2 linked regions of the Nothobranchius furzeri genome follow. The protein of the gene in region 2 purifies or fractionates together with the protein of the main gene of each other region. This does not show direct contact. Links are inferred from orthologs where the notes say so. Each region holds a gene or a part of one and is shown on either strand. Other genes may lie near its edges.

What was found.
Region 1: the proteins of bnip3lb (region 2) and fbxl4 purify together in Homo sapiens (affinity purification with western blotting; 4 studies listed by BioGRID, with this or other methods). This does not show direct contact. The link is inferred for Nothobranchius furzeri from reciprocal best matches to the Homo sapiens genes BNIP3L and FBXL4.

Annotation. Positions count from the first base shown.
Region 1 is NC_091745.1:52,301,746-52,305,159, forward strand, and holds part of fbxl4 (F-box/LRR-repeat protein 4), read right to left. Parts: intron 3,238-3,414; coding exon 3,166-3,237; intron 2,261-3,165; coding exon 2,136-2,260; intron 1,913-2,135; coding exon 1,725-1,912; intron 282-1,724; coding exon 118-281; 3' UTR 1-117. UniProt on the Homo sapiens protein: Substrate-recognition component of the mitochondria-localized SCF-FBXL4 ubiquitin E3 ligase complex that plays a role in the restriction of mitophagy by controlling the degradation of BNIP3 and NIX mitophagy receptors.
Region 2 is NC_091746.1:40,527,968-40,532,298, reverse strand, and holds the start of bnip3lb (BCL2 interacting protein 3 like b), read right to left. Parts: upstream 2,881-4,331; 5' UTR 2,675-2,880; coding exon 2,617-2,674; intron 1-2,616.

The sequences.
Region 1 (3,414 bases), on a different chromosome or scaffold from region 2:
TCTTCACTCAGCTGTCTGTGATACGAGACAATCTGCAGCAGCGGACCAGCTCCTGCTGGTGAGCCTGTCCCTGCAGCTCGATGCTCCTCGGCAGCGAGAGCTGAGACAGTGGCGGGGTCACTGAGTGAAGCTTTTCTTGATGGCCACTTTGGGGAAGAGGCTGGAGAGTTCTTGGACGACCCGAGTGTCTATCTGTGAGCAGAAGGAGACGTCCAGGAGGACGAGGCGAGGACACGACTGGAGGAGCTTCTTGAGCGAGGCAGCACTCACCAAGCGTGTACCTGTTTGTTAGTAAAACCACACCAAAGCTAAGAAGACAACAGGAAAGACACTTTGCCTGAATTGTATGTTTACAAAACAGTAAAGAGAAATGAAAGTTTGCATCACTGAAGCAAGATGTCAAAACCTTTAGTCTGATGATAAAATCATTTATTCAGCAGCTGCTTAATTCTTCTGGGGCCTCATTTATCAAACATTGCGTAGAATCCTTACTAAAACCGTACTTAAGCCCAGCAAAAAAAATGTATTTACGCCAAGTAGGTTTGTGATCTATCAAACATGGAGTACGCACGGCTGCACGCAATCTCTGCTTTATAAATCAGAAACTATCTCGAAAGGTTCTCAGCTGTATTTTAGTCACATCTGCCCTCACCACACCCACTTACTGCCATAAACAGTCAATGCAAAGTGCCTTGTGGATCTCATGCATATACATAAGCCGGCTGTTGTAGTGCTCCGCCAATGATGATGGCGACCGCAGATCAAGGAAGCGCAATTTCATAGAAGCAGAAATTCAGGTACTTGTGGGTGAGGTGGAGAAATGAAAGGAAGTGCTTTTGCAAAACAAATAAGAGAAAATCCACGGAGTGTCACAGCGTTGCTGAAGCCGTCAATGCTGAGTTCTTCAGAGAGATCTGTGGCGGATGTAAAAAAAATGGTCCCATCTGGATCCGATCCCCAGACTCCCGGGTGGAAGTCACACGTGCTAACCAGTCTGCCAAACGGAGATCTCCCCTGTTCAACTAGCCAGGGCGCCTGATCAATCGGGTCACAGTGACAGGACACACACACTGCCACAGACGCATGATGTTCTGTCTCAATCTGTCCCCTGCTGATATTCTGCATTCCGTATTCTGCGCTTCAGGCTGTGTGTGTGTGTGCACGCGCGCGCGTGTGTGTGAGTGTGCGTGCATGTGTGTGTGCACGCACAAGTGTGTGCGTGTGGGGGGTCTTGTTCTGTGTGAAAACGAAGCGGTACAAGTGATAATGCTGCAGGATTTCATACTTTTATCCTTCTCAGCAGCAGCACTGCAGGTGCTCTTCATGTCCAACATGTGCCTAAGCCAGGTCCTTAGTCAACTTAAAGTTGCGCACATTTTTCCGCTAAGTTTTCTTTCATAAATCCCAAAGTTTGCGTGTAAAGTTGCTTATGCAGTTTTTCAACCTCGTTTCGTGCGTTAGCAAGCTTGATAAATGAGGCCGCAGGACTTTTTCTATTTATGTTTGGGCATTTAGAGCAAAACAGTCTATTAAACAATGGGGGCCTAATGCTGTGCATGTTGAATCATTCCTCTTTGATGGAGCCTTATCTCTTTAGGTAATTAAATTATCTGTACTGGAGGTTTAAAACCAAGAATCTGCATATTTTACAGACAGAAAATAAAGATAAGTAACGTGACCGTGGCCCTCATCCAGAAACAGAAACACGCGTGACAAGAGCATACCGAGTATGTCGAGATGCTGCAGCGAAGGGCAGCAGGAAGCCAGCTCCTCAATGTCCGAGTCAGAGACGGTGCGGTTGGCGGTGAGGATGAGCTTACGCAGTCGAGGCAGGCAGCGGGCGAGCTGCTGGAAACAGCCGGTGCTGCTCTGCAGGGTGGGACACCAGCCCAGATCCAGCTCTTCCAACATCCTGAGCAGAAGGAACCACGAGAACTTAAATGACCAAATCAGACGACCAGCAGCGCTGAGTTACTGTAAACACATTATTAAACTCTTTCATACGAATGAGGATCACAGCTACGTTCTACTTCCCTGCTCCTTAAACACAGATTCACCTGTGAGACCAAACAAAAGAGGACCACAGGAATCACTGACATCATTCACCAGAGCTGCTGACGCAGTAGGAGGCCTACCTGCAGCCAGAAACGAGCTCGGTCAGGCCTCTATCTGTTAGGTTTCTGCACCGCCACAGGTCCAGGGAGCGCATTGAGCGACAGCGAGCGGCTATCATGCTGGACACAACATCGTAGTCGTCGATCTACAGTGGAAGAAGGAAGCATTTCCTCTGTCAATAGGAGGATTCATGGCAGATGCCTACAGAAACTTCCTCCAGTGTTGCAGTGATTTATAAGCTCTGATTTGAGAATATTTCTGCTACATGTGGGCATCTCAAACATTAGGACTGAGAAAACAACACTGTGAGTAGAATGGAGTGGATGTGGAGTTCAGACAGAGATCTTCTTAAACGTTCTAGCCCATGTGCAGGTGGTTATGGTTAGTCAGATGTTGGCACTGGTCTTAAATCAGACTTAAAGAGCCCTTCTCCATTCCAACCTGTTGTGCATTTAAGATCCCTTCTGGTTCTAGGCGCACTAGCCTCAGTGGTCACAAACGATAAACAAAACAAGTTTGAGTTCTTGATATGTTTGTGTGAGTCTTCAGGCCTCACTCTGATGCTCAAAAGGTCAGTTTTCTCTTAAACGAGTCATCACAGGTGTCAGAAGGTGAAAAACGTCAAACCAACTTTGGGAGGAGCTGGCTGCAAAGGTAACAATAAATCAGACTTAATCATGACACTTTCTGACTAAACTGCATTTAAAAAATCACTAAAATAATCAGCCCTGGCAGCAAAAAGTGACTCCAGTTCTGCAACGCTGTCTCCCACAGCAATAAACTGGCTCAAAGATCTGGTCAAGAGGGAAAACTATGACAATGTGGTACAATTGGTTATTTAATTAATTTTAGCAGAGAATGTCTTCAATAGCATGTTAGAATAAAAACCCTGGTGAAAAACAACCTGAGCTCTGTTTGGACTTCACACATTTTCTCTGTGTTGTGGTTTCGTACAAAAACAACAGAACCCTGGGTTTCAGTCCTATAAGCTCCATGATTTACTTACAGAGTGCGTACGATACACTCATCCCACCCGTCGTTCATGCTCACCCTCAAACAGCTGCCCAGGTTGAGGTGTCTCATCTCCGTACAAAACGTCAGGATGCTCAGGACGGCTGTTTGCTGTAAACAGACCAAGGAGGAGATGTTACTGCCTTCTGCGAGGAGAGGAATCTGTCCTTATTTAAATAAGTAAAACCACGGTTACAACATAGATTATTACTAAAGAAGCAGCATTTACTAAAATACAACAAATCCTTTCTACAGTTCCTGAGAGAGCGAAGCAAAGTGAGGACGATA
Region 2 (4,331 bases):
CCTCTGAAATGGGTCAAGTTCGACATTTTTGGGGAAGGAAAGACAGGAAATCAGACGCCAAAATGGAGAGGAGCTCCCGAGATTTTCAGAATAAAGAACGTACTGCCTTCCGGTTGCTTTACTTTAAAAAAGGTTACCAACTGTGCGGCCCCGTGAGAAGTTATCACCTAGCTAGCGGTCTCCTTTGTTTTTCAGGTCCGTATTTGCGATTATAAAACGGACAGAACATAAAACACAAACATTTTGGGGCCATGTTGTAGTTTTCTCCTGCTTGTTGTTGTGTTTACTGACGAAGTCACTCTGACTTCGTGCTCGGTCGGTGACAGCTGCTCCCCTGCTGCTTCGCATCTCGTGGGAAGGGCCAAGCAGCAGCTTACGCGAGCAAGACATGCTGCTGCAGTAACGTACTGCTGACAGCTCCTGTGGAAACCCGGGGTCAGGCCGGGTCGGACTGGGGGGCAGACAGAGCCACTTTGATGTTGGTTTATGAGGGTATGATCAGGTCGGCCTTAGATTATGGGGGTTTCCTGTATGGTTTGGCTGCGCCTTCCACCCTGAAGCAGCTGGATGTGTTGCAGGCAGCGGCTATGGGGGTGTGTACTGGGGCGTTTTGGTCGTCCCCGGTGGCAGCCCTCCTTGTTGAAGCTGTTGGTGTCTATGACAGAGTGTAGCCAGGTTTGGCTGTAGGCATAGTGTTGCTGTGGCAGCAATACGCCGCGAGGCGTCCAGTCTGCCTTACCCAAAGAACAAGAATCAGGTGTGTAGAAACAGCTAACGTGTGCAGGATGTTAGCCCTCAAGGACCGGAGTTGGTGACTCAAGGTGTAGATGGCATTGCGTCATTAAAAGACAGTATTTGTAATTTTTAAAACTGAGTTTAACTGGAAAACCCAGGCAAGACTCTTCCAAGACACATCCAGAGTTATCACAAGATTTCATTGTTCCATCAAAATAAGCTGGTAAAGACTACTGCCACCTAGTCGCCGGAGTTTAAATTGCACCACATAAAATTATTAGAGCATATTTTATTTGTTTATTTATTTATTTGGGACAGTGCACAGTGTTTGCTTGTAAATTCTCCCAAAAAATTATAATAATAAATCAATGCACTGCATTCAAATATTGATCCGGTACATCAAATATGGTGATTTTCAGTGTATCGATATAAGTGATTAAGTCATTGCCGTGAATTCAATGCCTTTCGGCGAGTCTCAAATAAAAATGTGGGCGTCTTATTACTGTAAAAAAATATATCATTAATGTAAAAAAGAAACTCCTAATCACAAGTTATGCTCACACCTGGAATCATACCCAGGCTTTTCGCATGAGAGTCAGACATCTTACTAGGTGAGCTAAAGCACCAGTGACATTGAATTTATCTATAACGTTTATATCGTTGATGACAGCTGAAACAACGTCAATCCAAAGAACAGTTCGGAGCGAAAATGGCTATTTTGTTGCTAATTTGCAGGAAATATCTAGAAGAAAGTTCTACAAAAAGTAGCTAAGGGTCCTCTGAAATGTAGCTAGGATTGTCACTAGGCGTTAGGAACAGCGACAAAGTCGCTGAGTTGGCACTGCCTCTCTCTCTGCTGCTAAAGCTACGGATAGCAAATGCTACGGGCTATACCTGAGTGTGAACGCGTATGAAGCAGCCTGCTCGACCCGAGCATCTCTCTTTTTCTGTGATTTTACAGAAAAACAGGCAATCAAAGTAAAAATGCCAGGGCTCATTCGACAGGACCAGGGCATTGCAGGAGAATGTATAAAGAAGAAATTTATTATTTCTATACATGCTTTGACTGTCAAACTTCCTTACAGTCCCTTTAAGCCAGAAAAGATCTACAGACAGGTCTTGTCTAAAACCATATGGAAATACATAACACTTGTTGCTTTGTATTATGTAAGAGAAGATGTAGGCACAGACTGAGCATAATGGGCATCCATGGCCAATAATTTGGTTATTAGACATTTTAAAGTTTTTTTTAATCCAGTATAAACATCAATATTTCCTGTCATCAGATTTGACATGGAGAAATAAACTTTCATGTACTCTGGAACAGCTGAGAAATGTGATACTTCCCCCATATTACTCATGTCCAAAACTTCTGTCCCCTTGTCGTTGTGTCCATAAATAGCATGCCAAATATAACAGCTTTAATATGTTTACACGTTTTAGAGCGTTTTGTGGATTAGAATGACTGTAATACAAACATTTTCGTAAATTATCAAAATTATTATGCGCCGATTTAATCAAATTGGACATCTTCCATCGAGCCTTGTTGACAAGTCTAAAGCACACCCACAGCCTCTGTATTGATCGCTGATTGGCTCCGTTGCCCGTCATTCAAGCTTCCTGAAAGATTATTGGTTCAGCTACTGTCAATAAACACACGGAACACAACGTTCTAGTTCCTCCCCCTTCAGTAAGAACCGAACTCGCGGAGAAAAATACATACTTGCCGAATAAACAACTCTTATTGTTGAAATTATAACAGCAGACGCCTTTCGGATACGAGTAAAATTCATCAAGACGCTTCAGAAGAAAAGAGGCACGCACACATGCACAAAGCGTCAGTGTGTTCTGAAGCTCTAAGCTCAGTAGCATTTAGCTTACCGTTAAGCCCCGAGTCTCCGTTGCTTTCTGTGGAAGTAACGTTAGCAGCGTCGGACATTGTGGCTGGCAAACAGGGTGGGTTGCATTAAGGGCTCAAGTCGATGCAAAACGGCCACTGCTATCTCTACACATTCAGGCGTGCTTTGATACAACAGCGCCGACTTGTCACCAGCTCGGTGCCTCAGAAAATAGCTAACTGTCCTGGCTGAAGCACCGCTGAAGGGATTTGTTTTCGTCGGTTAGCTGACATAGGAGCAGCAAGCACGAGCCAATCACAGCTCCTCAGAGGCGGAGTGCTCACTGACGTATCACCAGTGACAAGTGTGGCAGGTTGTTGTAATATATAATCAAATTATTTCGTTCTTATTTCTTTGATATTTGCCTATAAATTAATTGTGAAATATCAATAAGATACATACTTAAAGTAAAACTGAGATTAGAGTAGGATCAAATGAATTTGATTAATTAAGATTCCTCCTTGAACTTATTTAAAGAGATTTGCAACTTTCTCATATTTTTAAATCATCAATTATTGAGCCAGTATGTGCTAAAACGACCCTTTACATGTTTTCTTAAAGGCCACCCAGCCCCCATCACCCACTGTGGCCAGAATATTCCACTTGCAACTTCAAACTGGCAAGCCTGCCAGTTTGAAGTTGCAATTTTTACGAAGTCCCAACAGAAGGCTGTAAAAATTGAGCTAACATACATGGTGCTGCAGTCTGGTTCCAGCAAGTTTCCTACATGTTTTAGATCATGAGCACCGCTGAATTGTTTAGTTTCATGATTAATTTTGTAGACACTAGGACAGCTGGGGAGACATTTCAGCTGTTAAAGTACTCACTCCTGGTCCTTGAGAGCCAGTATCTAGCATGTTTTCCTCGTTTCCATAGGCGTCATTTTAACCGGGGACGCCAGGGACATGTCCCCGGCAAAATTTGTGATTGGCAGCTGTCCCCCCCCCCCCCCCCCCCTCCCCCACTTTCAAAAAAGCCTGCTGATGAGGATTTTTGTTTTACCAGCTCAGATCTTATACCAGGGGTCGGCAACCTGTTCCCATCAAAGAGCCATTATTACCCATTTCCCACGGTAAAGAAAACACCGCAGCAGCCACAGCGTTGTGGGCGGGGCCTACCCTCAGACAGCAGAGCGCTGCTCACAACAGGTGACAGCAGCCGGGGGCATCGCACCCGTGGGGGATTCAACACCCACACTTTTCCAGCTGTTTTGCTCACCTCCACGCCAATCTGGTTTCTTTACGTCGCACACTCACTCTGTTTGCCTCATCTCCTTCTTCACCTCCCGCTTCTAACAGCCGATGTCAGGTTTCCAGGAGAGCAGGGGAGGGACGGAAGAGCTCGACTGAATTCATAATTTTACATCTTGACATTAGCTGTACAAAGTCTGAGTTTGATAAAGTGAAGAACAACAATTTGCAGAGGTTTATAACAGGCGTGGCGTCAGGTTTTCATTTTTGGGTGGGCCACGGTAATTTTGGACGAACCTTAATAAGCAGTGACTTAGTGAAGCAGGCAGGTCGCGCTAGAAATTTTAGTTTAAAAAGACGTCATAAATGTGTTCCCCCGTCCTTTTTATTTATAAAATGTGAAGTAAAAACTCACAATTTAATTTTCATTCATTTGTCATTAATATGTAGTCTACACCCATGCGTTAAGTGGACCATCTTCCAATAAAAGCAAAGCATCCCCACCTCT